Yarrowia lipolytica: one gene and its partners. The protein of the gene in region 1 interacts with the protein of each later gene in a pairwise test. Links are inferred from orthologs where the notes say so. Each region holds a gene or a part of one and is shown on either strand. Other genes may lie near its edges.

The links.
Region 2: the proteins of YALI1_F11658g (region 1) and YALI1_E20269g interact in binary tests that used the Saccharomyces cerevisiae proteins (3 or more experiments, as listed by UniProt). The link is inferred for Yarrowia lipolytica from reciprocal best matches to the Saccharomyces cerevisiae genes HRR25 and SEC23.
Region 3: the proteins of YALI1_F11658g (region 1) and YALI1_B19602g interact in binary tests that used the Saccharomyces cerevisiae proteins (3 or more experiments, as listed by UniProt). The link is inferred for Yarrowia lipolytica from reciprocal best matches to the Saccharomyces cerevisiae genes HRR25 and GCN2.

What each region holds. Positions count from the first base shown.
Region 1 is NC_090775.1:1,163,726-1,167,478, forward strand, and holds YALI1_F11658g (uncharacterized protein), read right to left. Parts: upstream 2,578-3,753; coding exon 2,543-2,577; intron 2,108-2,542; coding exon 598-2,107; downstream 1-597. UniProt on the Saccharomyces cerevisiae protein: Protein kinase which phosphorylates serine and threonine residues. Can use casein as a substrate. Phosphorylates elongator complex member ELP1/IKI3 on 'Ser-1198' and 'Ser-1202' which promotes the tRNA modification function of the complex.
Region 2 is NC_090774.1:2,024,026-2,027,778, forward strand, and holds YALI1_E20269g (uncharacterized protein), read right to left. Parts: upstream 2,852-3,753; coding exon 491-2,851; downstream 1-490. Other genes in the region: YALI1_E20229g (uncharacterized protein), read left to right, coding at 1-86. UniProt on the Saccharomyces cerevisiae protein: Component of the coat protein complex II (COPII) which promotes the formation of transport vesicles from the endoplasmic reticulum (ER).
Region 3 is NC_090771.1:1,959,376-1,963,128, reverse strand, and holds the start of YALI1_B19602g (uncharacterized protein), read right to left. Parts: upstream 2,904-3,753; coding exon 2,808-2,903; intron 2,750-2,807; coding exon 1-2,749. UniProt on the Saccharomyces cerevisiae protein: Metabolic-stress sensing protein kinase that phosphorylates the alpha subunit of eukaryotic translation initiation factor 2 (eIF-2-alpha/SUI2) on 'Ser-52' in response to low amino acid, carbon, or purine availability.

The DNA of each region.
Region 1 (3,753 bases):
AAAAGGGACCATCCAGGAGAATAATCAATGTCAAATAATGCTCTCTAGCCTGGGAAACCTTCAGAAATATACCACATATAAGCCAGCATAATCCCACCGTCTGGCACAGGATGGATCCACATACACTCAACCCGCTTGCATGCATATTATCACCCAAAGTGGGGTAGCCGGAGCGCCAAATGTCACACCTGACCTGAGTCCGTTTGGATCACGTGAAAATGACAGAATAATTATTGGTAAATCTCGGTACTCGTGTGTTCTGTTCCATACATACCAACGCCTTCCACGCCAAAGTTATTTGAAACGTGTCGATTTCTCTTTTGTTGAAAAATCAACTTTCACAGTCCTCCCAATGAGCCGAGCCATATAGCCGAACACTTCACACACACCCCTTCATCCGAACATCAGCAATAAGTACAAGTTGGTACAACCGTAGTTGTAAGTACATACTATACTCGTAAAGGTACCGTGAGTACAACATTACCACCCGCGTCTTCGCTAAATATAATCACTTAATTACATAGCCGTCACCTTCTAACTCATGACACATTATTACTTACTAGATTTTGGTTCAGTCACACACTCATGCCAACTCCGCTAGATCCAGGGAGTAGCGCCATAGTCGTCGTGACCTTGTCCAGGAGGAGCCGATGCACCGGGCTGTCCAAACTGTCCCAGCGGTTGCTGTGGCTGCTGCTGTTGTTGCTGGGGAACGCCCTGCTGAGGCCCACCGGGAGCGGTGCCTGAGCCGGCAGCGCCGCTGTTACCCTGGCTGGTAGGGCTACCCTGGATGCGCTGCTGCTCCCGTCGTAGCCGTGTTCGCCAGTCGGACTGATCGGTATCTGCCTTCTTGTCGTCGTAGTAATCGAGCTGCTGGTTCTCAATGTCAAAAAGTCGCAAAGGGGGAGGAATGTCCCAGTCTCCAATTCGGGTCTTGAGATCTGGCCGCTGGGATGGAGTCTTGGCTCGCATGCCCTGCTGGGGAGGCACACCCTGGCCCTGGGCACCTGCTGCCAGAGCCTCGCCACCGGCTCGGGGAGCCTGCTGAGGTTGCAGACTCACCTGCGAGTTGGAGGCTCCCTGAGAAGCACCGGCGGCGGCAGGAGAAGCGGAGTCCCGCTGCTGCTGCTGCTGCTTGTTGGGGTCCTCGTCCTGACCCTGGCCGGCTGTGAGCTGCGACTGCTGGGCTCCCTCTCGGCCTCCCATGCTGTTGATGACCTTTCTGTATCGGAACACGGTCCAGTCGAACACGTAGTCGTATCGGTAGTTGGATCGGATGAAGAAGTCCTTCATGAGGCGACGCAGATAAATGTAGTCTGGTCGGTCCTCGAATCGCAACGATCGCGAGTATGACAAGAAAATGGCAAACTCGTTGGGCAGGCCCTTGGTGAGCGTGTCTGTGCTGGTGGTCATCTTCTTCTCCATGATCCGGTCGTACTTCTGCTTCTTGGTTACTGCCTTGAGACCCTGCCACGGGAGCTGGCCACGCATAAAGTAGATGAGCACGTATGCCAACGACTCGAGGTCATCTCGACGCGACTGCTCCACGCCCAGATGCGTGTTGATGCTGGCATAACGCGCCGTGCCCGTCAGGTTCTTGTTCTCACGGTAGGGAATATGCAAATGGGTTCGGGGGTCTCGGAATCGCTTAGCCAGGCCAAAATCTATAATGTTGACCTGGTTGCCTCGGCGGCCGATGCCCATGAGGAAGTTATCGGGCTTGACGTCTCGGTGGATGAACGACTTGGCATGCAGATATTCGAGTCGGGTGATGAGCTGGTCGGCGAGAAGAACCACCGTCTTGTACGAGAATCGTCGCTCGCAAAAGTTGAACAGGTCCTCGAGCGAGGGGCCCAGCAGATCCATCACCAACGCATTGTACTCATTCTGTGAGCCAAACCATCGGATGAAGGGGATGCCGGTGCCGCCGGCCAGAGTCTTGTACACCCGCGCCTCGTACTCTAATTGTGGGTGTTTAGAGAAGATGTTTTCCAGCTTGATGGCCACCTCTTCGCCTGAAATGATGTTGACGCCCAAGTAAATGTCGCCGAACGATCCGCTTCCGATTTTTCGCCGGATCTGGAATTTGTTTGCAATTCTCACGTCGCTGGGTTAGTATGTGTGTGATTAGTTGATGTGTGGGATGGGCGATCGTGCGAGCAATAGTGCGAGCAATTTGATGCAGCAGCAAAGCGTGGGGGGGATGCATCGGGTGGTTCCACGGCTGCTCCGCGGAGGAAAGTGCAACGCCAGACCATTCGTTGCCGGTGACATCTATAATATCACATCGCACATGATGCAGTCACATAAGTCAAGTGTCATGAGATGGTGGGTGTGGACAGCCACGACGATAGCAGCGGCGAGAGACTGACACCTCAACAGCGTAGCATGTCATCGTCAGCATGTCATCACCATCACCATCATCATCACATCAACTGCCACCCTTGTCACCCATCACCATCCATCTCCTTTTGTCATTCATCACCCTCCTCATCTCATACCGCATCACGACAGCTGCCCTGTCGCGGCAGACAATACTCACTGTAGAAGCGACGGAACCGAGTTGCTAGAAGACATGGTCGACGGTCGGGGGAATGTCTTGGTCCGTGAGGGGCGATTTGGAGCTTGTGCTTGTGTCGAAACAAGTTGTTGATTTTGGAATGTGGGTGCGGATGTTTGTGGTCGCTAGAAAGTAGAGTCTGGTAGATTTTGTTTATTGAAGCGTGTCCAGAGAAAACAAGAAATAAAGTACTCTAATCAGGTGACGTGGGCGCCGGAGTAAGTGTCGCTTGTTGGGCCGGCCAAACTTTGGTTAGTGGAGATTGGTGCCGCTCGCTCTCGGGGTGTTATGTCCGGGGTCGAGAGGGTGGTTGTATGTGGTAGGGGCTACGTTTCTCAACGACGATGGGTGGTGGGAGAGGGGGAAAAATCAGGTTGGGAAGGGTTAGGGTACAAGAGCAAAAAAGGCAAAACCCGCCGACTACTGCCTGGAATGTGTATTGGGCAGTTTGATGACTGTTCAGAGGTTATCTGGGAGGCGCCGGGTCCCTATTTGTGTCTGTTGGCCGTGGTTGCCATCTGGGCATTTTCATTGGGGCAAAAAAACCGATTTTTCCCCTCCAAAAGCCGCTCCCACAAACCCCCCTTAACTCTTGTCACGCTCTCTCCACGCACACTCACCTTACAGTGCACTCTCTCTACACTGCATATTGGTGCCAGTATCACTGGTACATTCACTCGTATGTACTGTAGCTATAGTATAGTGCTTGCAAGGAATACAGTCCCCCTAGAATAACCTTGGTAGCTTACAAACAGAACATACAAGTGACAAAGATGATATATATTAAGACACCGAAGACGGAGAGCCCCTCCCCAGGTATAATGCTTAGTAATCCCCGCCTGAATCAATCTAGATCGGAAGAGAGGGTCAGCAGGAATTACGCACCACAAAATCTATATCTTGCAGCAGCCGACACGGACATGCGGCGACACGACCGTCAAAATGCACAAGAACTGCCCAAATCAAATGTAACATTGTTCGGGAGGGTAATGACGGGAGCCAAGCTTGTTTTGCGGTGTCTCCAGTACATACGATACATATATGAGTATCCATATGGCTACAGTCCTGGCCCATGGACTGATGATGGACAGTCGCCCTAGTGCCAATATTTATTAATTACTCGCACAAGTACAAGTACAAGTACATTAACTGGTAGCTACTAGGCTGTAACTACTGTTCTGTATCCCTTCGCT
Region 2 (3,753 bases), on another chromosome or scaffold:
AGATGGAACACTATGATTATGCACATACCTCTCCCGACTTTTCGTCTCCAGAGTACCACTCTTCACCGGACTTCGAAGGACATTAGGAAACAGTGAGATACAGAACGAGAAAGAGAGAGAGAGAGAGCACTAACATATATTTATAATGTGGATTGGTTTTGTTTATATGCTTCATTCCTTCATTCTATATACTATTTATTACATTTAATTGAGTCAATTCAAGGAGTAATTACATTGCATCTACACAGCTATCGCGATATCATATCATCACCCCACTCGCACAGCTCATACAGTGCCTCCTTGAAACTTTTTAGCTCCAAAGAACATATATTCCACTGTATCGTACAACCATGTCTCACTAACGCCAGATACGGGGTCGCATGCAAGGGAGTGGTGTACTTGAGACAATACAGTGTATAGAAGACACCACTGTATAACTCCCAGCTCGACAATCCAACAATACAAATTAATCTTACAACATTACTTAACCCTAAGAGGAGGCAGCCACAGACAACTTCTGAAGATGAGACATGAAAGTCTGCAGAGACACATCGTCAGTAAGCACCACGGCGCTGCCAGGAGTGCCGTAGCCACTGTCGCTCTGGTGGGTGTTGGAGGGATTGAGCTTGGACAGCAAGAAACGGGCCTGGGAACCTCCAGCATCAGTGTCAATGAATCGAGGCAAAGGGAATCGGTCAACCAGCAAGTCCTGGACCTCCATTCGAGGGGCCTGCAGAAGCTCAGCAAAGTTGGCGTACTCCTCCTTTTCTTGGTAGCCCTGGTTTCGCCAGTTGGCAATGGTTTCTCCGTGGAAAATGAGAATGTGGAAAAAGGTGTCCAGCAGCAGAATGTGATCGGGCTTGATGGACACCGAATCCAGCAGTACAGGCACGGGCTGCTCCTGCTCCAGAGAGTACGACAGCAGGGTGGGCTGGATCATGATAAGCGAGTTGTTGAGATTCTCTCGGTTCAGGCAGTGTCGGTAGAAGGCAGTCTCATCGGGCGAGTTGTTGAACACCTGCAGGAACTGCGATCGTCGTAGATGGAACATAAACTGGGGGTACAGCGAGAAGTTGTGGGCGAGTCGGAACGAAGACGCGTCGTCTTTTCTGTAGTCAGCAAACTTTTGGCATAGACGGATCAGCATCTTGTCGGTCCATCGCATAATGTCGTTGCCGTCCTCGGTCTCGGACTTGAAAATGGCAATTCGAGTCATAAGCACAGCAGCAGCCTCCTGGTCAAAGGAGCTGGCAATGTGGGGATCGCCACCGGGCACAAGAGCCTTGGCAACAGTGGTCACACGAAGACGTTGCTGAGTGGACGAGTGGTGGTAATGCGTCAGGAACTGCACGTATCCAGGGGGGATCTGGCCTGCAGGAGTGCCCTGCTGCTGGGCCACTTCGAAGAAAGTCGCGTAGGTGTGAGCAGGAGTGATGGAGCACATCTTCCACGAAGAAGTCTGGCCAATACCAATCTCGGTGTCAGCTACACTGGGGTTCTTCTTGTTCATTGAAACGGCGTGGCCAATCAGACCAGATACCTTGAGCTCCTTGGAGGGCACGACATCAAAGGTGGCGTTGAAACCCATCTGGAGGAAGTTGTTGGCGTCTCGGGCAAACATCTTGGTCAGCGAGGACTTGAAGATGGATGTGGAGAAGGCATCGCAGAGCACAAGAGCTCCACCGGTGGAGTTGGGCAGAGATCGCATCTCGTGCATACCAATCTGGTCGTAACAACCGGCGAAAATGTCAACGGCCTGGCCATGGGTGGTGGCTCGCTTGGCCAGACCCTCGTAGAACTTTGTGGCAGCCTTGGAGTGCTTGGCTGTGTCCTTTTCAATTTCGTGGTGAGATCGGATGGGCTCCTTGAGCTCGGGACCCACAATCATACCAGGACCCTCAGTGGGGGCACCACCAGCAAACAGCATGACTCGTGCACCGCAGTTGGGAAAGGAAGTCTCCAGCAGGCCGAGAGCAATTCCGAGAGCCACACCGGTACATCGGATGGGTCGTCGGTCGGCAGCCACGGGCCAGGGGTCCTTCTGCAGACCCTCCAGAACGTTGGTGAGGGCGAACTCGGCGTTCTGCAGAGGCAGGAGGAACCGGGCAGCGGCTCCCTGGGCCTGGGGATGTCCTCCCTGTTGGGGGACTCGGTGACCAATAGGCTGGTTGAGACCCAGCTGTTCCTGCACCTGCTTCGCAGTGTAATCTCGGTTACCTCGGAAGACGAAGCTCTTGCCGCACTCTCGGTAGCCAATCTCGTGGACCTGAGCCATGGCGCCAAAGGTGATGAGACCGACGAGAGCGTTCTCGGGGATCAGAGAAAGAGTGGCCACAAGGTGATCCTTGAGAGCAGTCAGGTTCTCGGCGTCCAGACAGGTGTCAACCACAAACAGGAAGATGGGGTTGGGAGCAGGTCGGGACAGAACGTACTCAACAGTGGTGCACTCGGGTCGCAGCTCGTGGGGCAAGTTTTCGGGAGTAATGTCTCGGTACTGAGGAGGCAGCTGGTTTCTAGACAGACAGAAAGGACAGACCCAGGCTCGGGCTCGCAGATCAACCTGGCAGAAGGAGTTGAGCACAGCTCGACAGGGGGGTCGGCATGCAATGGGCTCATACTGCAGTACGGGGAGGTTGGGCTTCTCCTTCAGAGGAGTGTACAGAGCCGAGATGGGAACGACGGTTCTGGAAGCCTCAATTCGGGTAGAGGGAATGCAATTCCAGGAGAATCGCACTCCGTCCTTCTCTTCGAATTCTTCAAAGTCCTGGGTTAGTACGAAACGGAAACGGGTAACGGGAGTAGCCGCAGGTCGAGGACGACGCGCGACGTGACCATGCGTGTCACTTGCCATCGCAGTGGAAGACACCACCTGGATCCAAGCGGAAGCAAGTAGCTGTAGTTGCAATCACGACACAACAGCGCGCCAAGCTGACACCGTTACGTGATGTTAGGTAGGCCACGAAAAGCACATGGACACAAACACAGCGTAGCGTACCAGCTCCAAGCTGCTGACACAGAAACAATCAGTATACTTGTCACACAATTGTAACATTGTCACAAACTGCCACATCAATGTTTGTACTAAACACCGTGTAACGGGCACACGAATACCTGTCCTAGTCGGTTGATAAAATGGCTGATTCAATAGTGCAACACTGGCGCAAAGATCACGTCATCCAGAGGTCCTAATCACATTGCTTTCGTCTGTGTCACACCATCTCTTCTGTGTCTTTTGTTGCTCATCAAATCCATCCCCCGTGTCTTTTCATATTGGCGATCAACCCCACACTAAGGGATTCGATTGGTCGGTTTGCAAGAGACACGGAGCCATGTGTCGGCCATCGGTTTGTGTCATCAAATCAACCCAGTTCGCCAGCATCGCCCATCGCGTCGCCTTGTCACACTCACCATTTGATTGTTGTGTCGAATAGGCCACCTAAGCAAAGTGAACTCAATGTTGAAAATGCCAGGTCGTTGGTAACAGGTGGGACATTCACGTCCGAACCTAAATGAGTGGTGGGAGAATGTGTGACAACGACAAGAGTGGGAATGGAGGGTCTATATATAGGGAATATTTTGGTAACGACAAGACGAATGTAATGCGGAAATTGGAATGCAGATGCACGATGATTATTCAGGGCCAAAAATCATCCTGTCTAGCGCCACCCAACTGCCCACATTCAGACCTCCTCACCCCAACTAACACGTCTTACGTACACACTTACTGTAACTTCCTCCACACCTAATTCACGT
Region 3 (3,753 bases), on another chromosome or scaffold:
CAGAAGGTCTCTTGCTGGGGTCATGGTCGAGCAAGCTTCGAATGATCTTACGAGGTTCGTTGTACTTAGAAGCCTCAAACGCTGGAGGGAAGATGACCTTAGGGTTGCGCAAGTCTCGAAGAATGTAGACACGCTCCATCGCAGTGTTCATGGGGAACACCATCTCGAAAAAGATGATACCCAAAGAGTACATGTCAACTTTCTCGTTGTAATTGGCCTCCCCGCCTGTGGCTAATACCTCATTGGCGACGTACAGCGTAGTACCGATGTCGCCTGTCATATCCTCACCTGTGTACTGAGACGAGCTCCCACCAGTTCCTGCACCGGCACCAACCAGAGAAGTTCCAGTATGGATATTCTTGGCCAGTCCAAAATCTCCGACCTTGACATTACCAGATGAGTCAATGAAAATGTTCATAGGCTTGAGATCTCGATGGATGATGCCCTGAGAATGAATGTGGCTCAGAGCATCAAGAATCTGGCCAAACAATCGCCAGCAGTCTTCAGGTTTAGATGAGAGGTTCTGCTTGATCAAATCCGCCAAAGTGTGCTTCTCACAATATTCCATTTGAATGAATAGGGTGGATTTTACCAGAGACTTGTCTTGCTTGTGTCGAGGAGAGTCACGCAGCTCAGCCAGAGCAGCCTTTCCAACGAGAGTCTTGACGGTAGTTTTGTGTCTGCTGTTGATGGGAGAAGATGTTGATACGCTCCCCGAAGAAGTCTCGTCTTCGCTGTCGCTATCGTCACTCTCGCGGTCTTCATCATCCTCTGAACTGACTCCGAATTCAATCTCAGGATACTCTCGATGCAGGGAGTTGGAGATGAAGTCCACCGAGGCGTTCATGGAGAGCTCGTCAAACGTATCTTGGTCGTATGAGCCGTTGAGACGGGCAGGAAACGCGCTGACAGATGTTTCAACTCTAGAAACACTTTCGCTCCACTCCTCCTCTGAATCGTAGTCCTCGATGGCAGACTCATCCTGATAGTCGTAGGACTCTTCCAACCACGCAGCAAAGTATCGAACCACGTACTGATTATTGAGACGAGACAGCAGCATGACCTCTGTTAGAATGGAAGTCAACTTGTCTGCTGTATGTTGAACTCGCTTGATGGCGTAGAAACGGCCATCCAACTTGTTGCGAGCCTTCACAACGACACCATAGCCACCTCGTCCTAACAAAACCGTTTCCTCGAAGTCCTGAGCATATCGAGACATGGAAAGACCACTCATGGAATCCCGGTGAGGTCGTCCATCCGTAGACATGCTTCTTCCTCGACCTCGTTTTCCACCACTGCTGGAAGCACACGCCAACTTCACTGGCGAGTCGACACCAGTTCGAAGGAATTCACAAGGCAAGAGCTCAAATGCAGAAAGACGTTTCTTGGGAGAAGGCATGAACATTTTTCGAAGGAACTCTTCCAGGGAATCTCCCAGATCCAGACTGTTGATCACATCTGTAGGTCCGTAATACTCTGACGTCACCTGCTTACCCATGAAGGTCTGAAGAAGCATCACACCCAGAGCCCACACGTCTGTCTTACGCGTCTGCTTGTTTCCACTCTGCTGCACTAGCTCAGGAGGTGACCAAGCATCACTGTCGTGTTGTATCGATGAAACAGAGGCAGTCATATCAAATGTGCACGCCGAATTCATTTCGTTAAGACGTTGACCAAAAACAGTGTATCCCAACTTGACCACTGTTTCTCCAATTTCTGCGTTTCGAAAAAGGACCACAGTGTCCACATTGACACTCTTGTGAACCAATCCAGCCTTGTGGATAGCCTCCAGGGCTTCGAGTAGTTGAATAGCCCATACTCGTGTCACTTTGAGACTCACGGTACCCACGGTATCAAGCAGATCAGACACAGTTCCTCCAGGAGAATATTCGGAAAGTAGGTATAGCGTCCATCCGGAAGTATCTGGACATCGTTGGAACTTGTGGTCGTAGAGACTGATGACGTTTTCGTGTCGAAACTTTCTCAAGTTGTCCAAGTCAGACTCGAGTAGTTGAATCATCTTCTTTCCCTCTGCCTGGATCCAGTATGTGCCCTGAAGTCTAACTTCTGTGAGAAGCAGGGATATGTCGGTTGGTGGGTCTGTCACGGGCCGCACCAAAAAATTGTTACCAAAAGAGTACCCTCGCACGGGTATTTGTCCTCCTACTCTTCTGAAACTGATTGCTGGGTGTCCTGCTCGCGAGATTGTTGTTATTCTGTCAAACTCAATGCAATCGGCCATGACTGGGCCGCCGTTTGACAATTGTCGCTCCGCAGTAAGCGCCTTTTGCGCTTCATCATCCCGCTGTTTGCGTCGCTTGAGCTCCTCCACAACCATCATCTCTAGCACTCTGTCTTCCTCCGCGTTTTCCTGTTCCCGCTTTTTGGCCTCGTCGCTCTTTTGCTTTCGTAGCTGCTCCTGTTGCTTCTCGATCTTCATCTGCCGCTCCTCCTCCAGACTGGCGGTGGACACCTTCTGTTGAAAATCCTCCAGTCGCTCCTGGATATACGAGGTGACCTCGAAGATCATCTCTGCGCCAATGAGCTCCTTGCAGGTGGCGGCGATCCACTTCTCTAACTTGGCCACCTGTGATGCTAAAATGTTTTTGGGGTTTTTGATGCGAATAACAGGGACCGTTTTGGGGTAGGTACTCGTGAGCTCGACCTGGAGCGTTAAACTGGATAGGGCATCTTCGGCGTCCGGGTCGGTCGATCGCATGTGAATCTCAAATGATGGCGAAGGCGTTTTCTATGTTAGCGTCACTGGTTCACTTATTCATCCCTCATTCTTGGATACAAGTACTCACGTTCCATGCAGATGACTTTGTGGTGTCAACAAAATCGTCCATGTAGATGGCCTTCAAAGCCTCCGCCTCGTTTTCTTGCAGTTCCTGTAACTCCATCTGGTCTATCCAAACGGAAGACACCAGGCATGTGTTTTCAAAGACGGTTAGTTGGTAAGTTTGTTCTGAGCGTTGCCAAATGCTTATGCCAGACGACTATTATTTTGAATTGGGTTTGTTGAGCCGCACGATGTCACGTGTGTAGGGTGGATCCGGAGGAACTAAAAGTCGGAGTAATGGCGGTGTTCAATACGTTGTTTGAGAGATTTCAAAGACCAGATATGTTTATTATATCTGCTTAAGTTGATTCTCTTACTGATAGACCACTTACACTTCCCGTATGAAAAACTTACACCGTTTCTGTATTTACTCCCCCATACTGTCGTTTAGATCTACTGTAGAACTTAAACTGACGCACCCCCCTCTTGCTGGATATATATGCAGAAAAAAAAAAAAATAACGCCACTATCATTATCGGTCATATCAGGCGGTTTTCAAAAGACAAAAAAAGGGGTGGGGGAGGGAAAATAACAATGAAATGATCGTGAGCTGTAAATTGACGGTACTCGATAACCCAAATTCGACGGTGTCGCCATGACAAACACGCCTAGTCCCCTCCGAAGCTGAGGCATTTGTGTTCACCTCCTTTCTCACCTGTATTTCGTTATCGAGATTTCAAGTACTTGGAGCTACTTTTGGACCGTGCATACTTCACCAAACTACAACTACAATGCAAGTACAGGTAGCATTATGTACATACTGTACTCGGACCGTTACTCGTACCGACACTGTGTGTAGGGTTACGTCGTATACACGCTAACTAAGGAAAAGATCGAGATATTGGGTAATCCTACTTTGTTTAGTCTCTACACGGGCAACTTCTGGGGTCGTTTATTGTCCTATTCTCTTG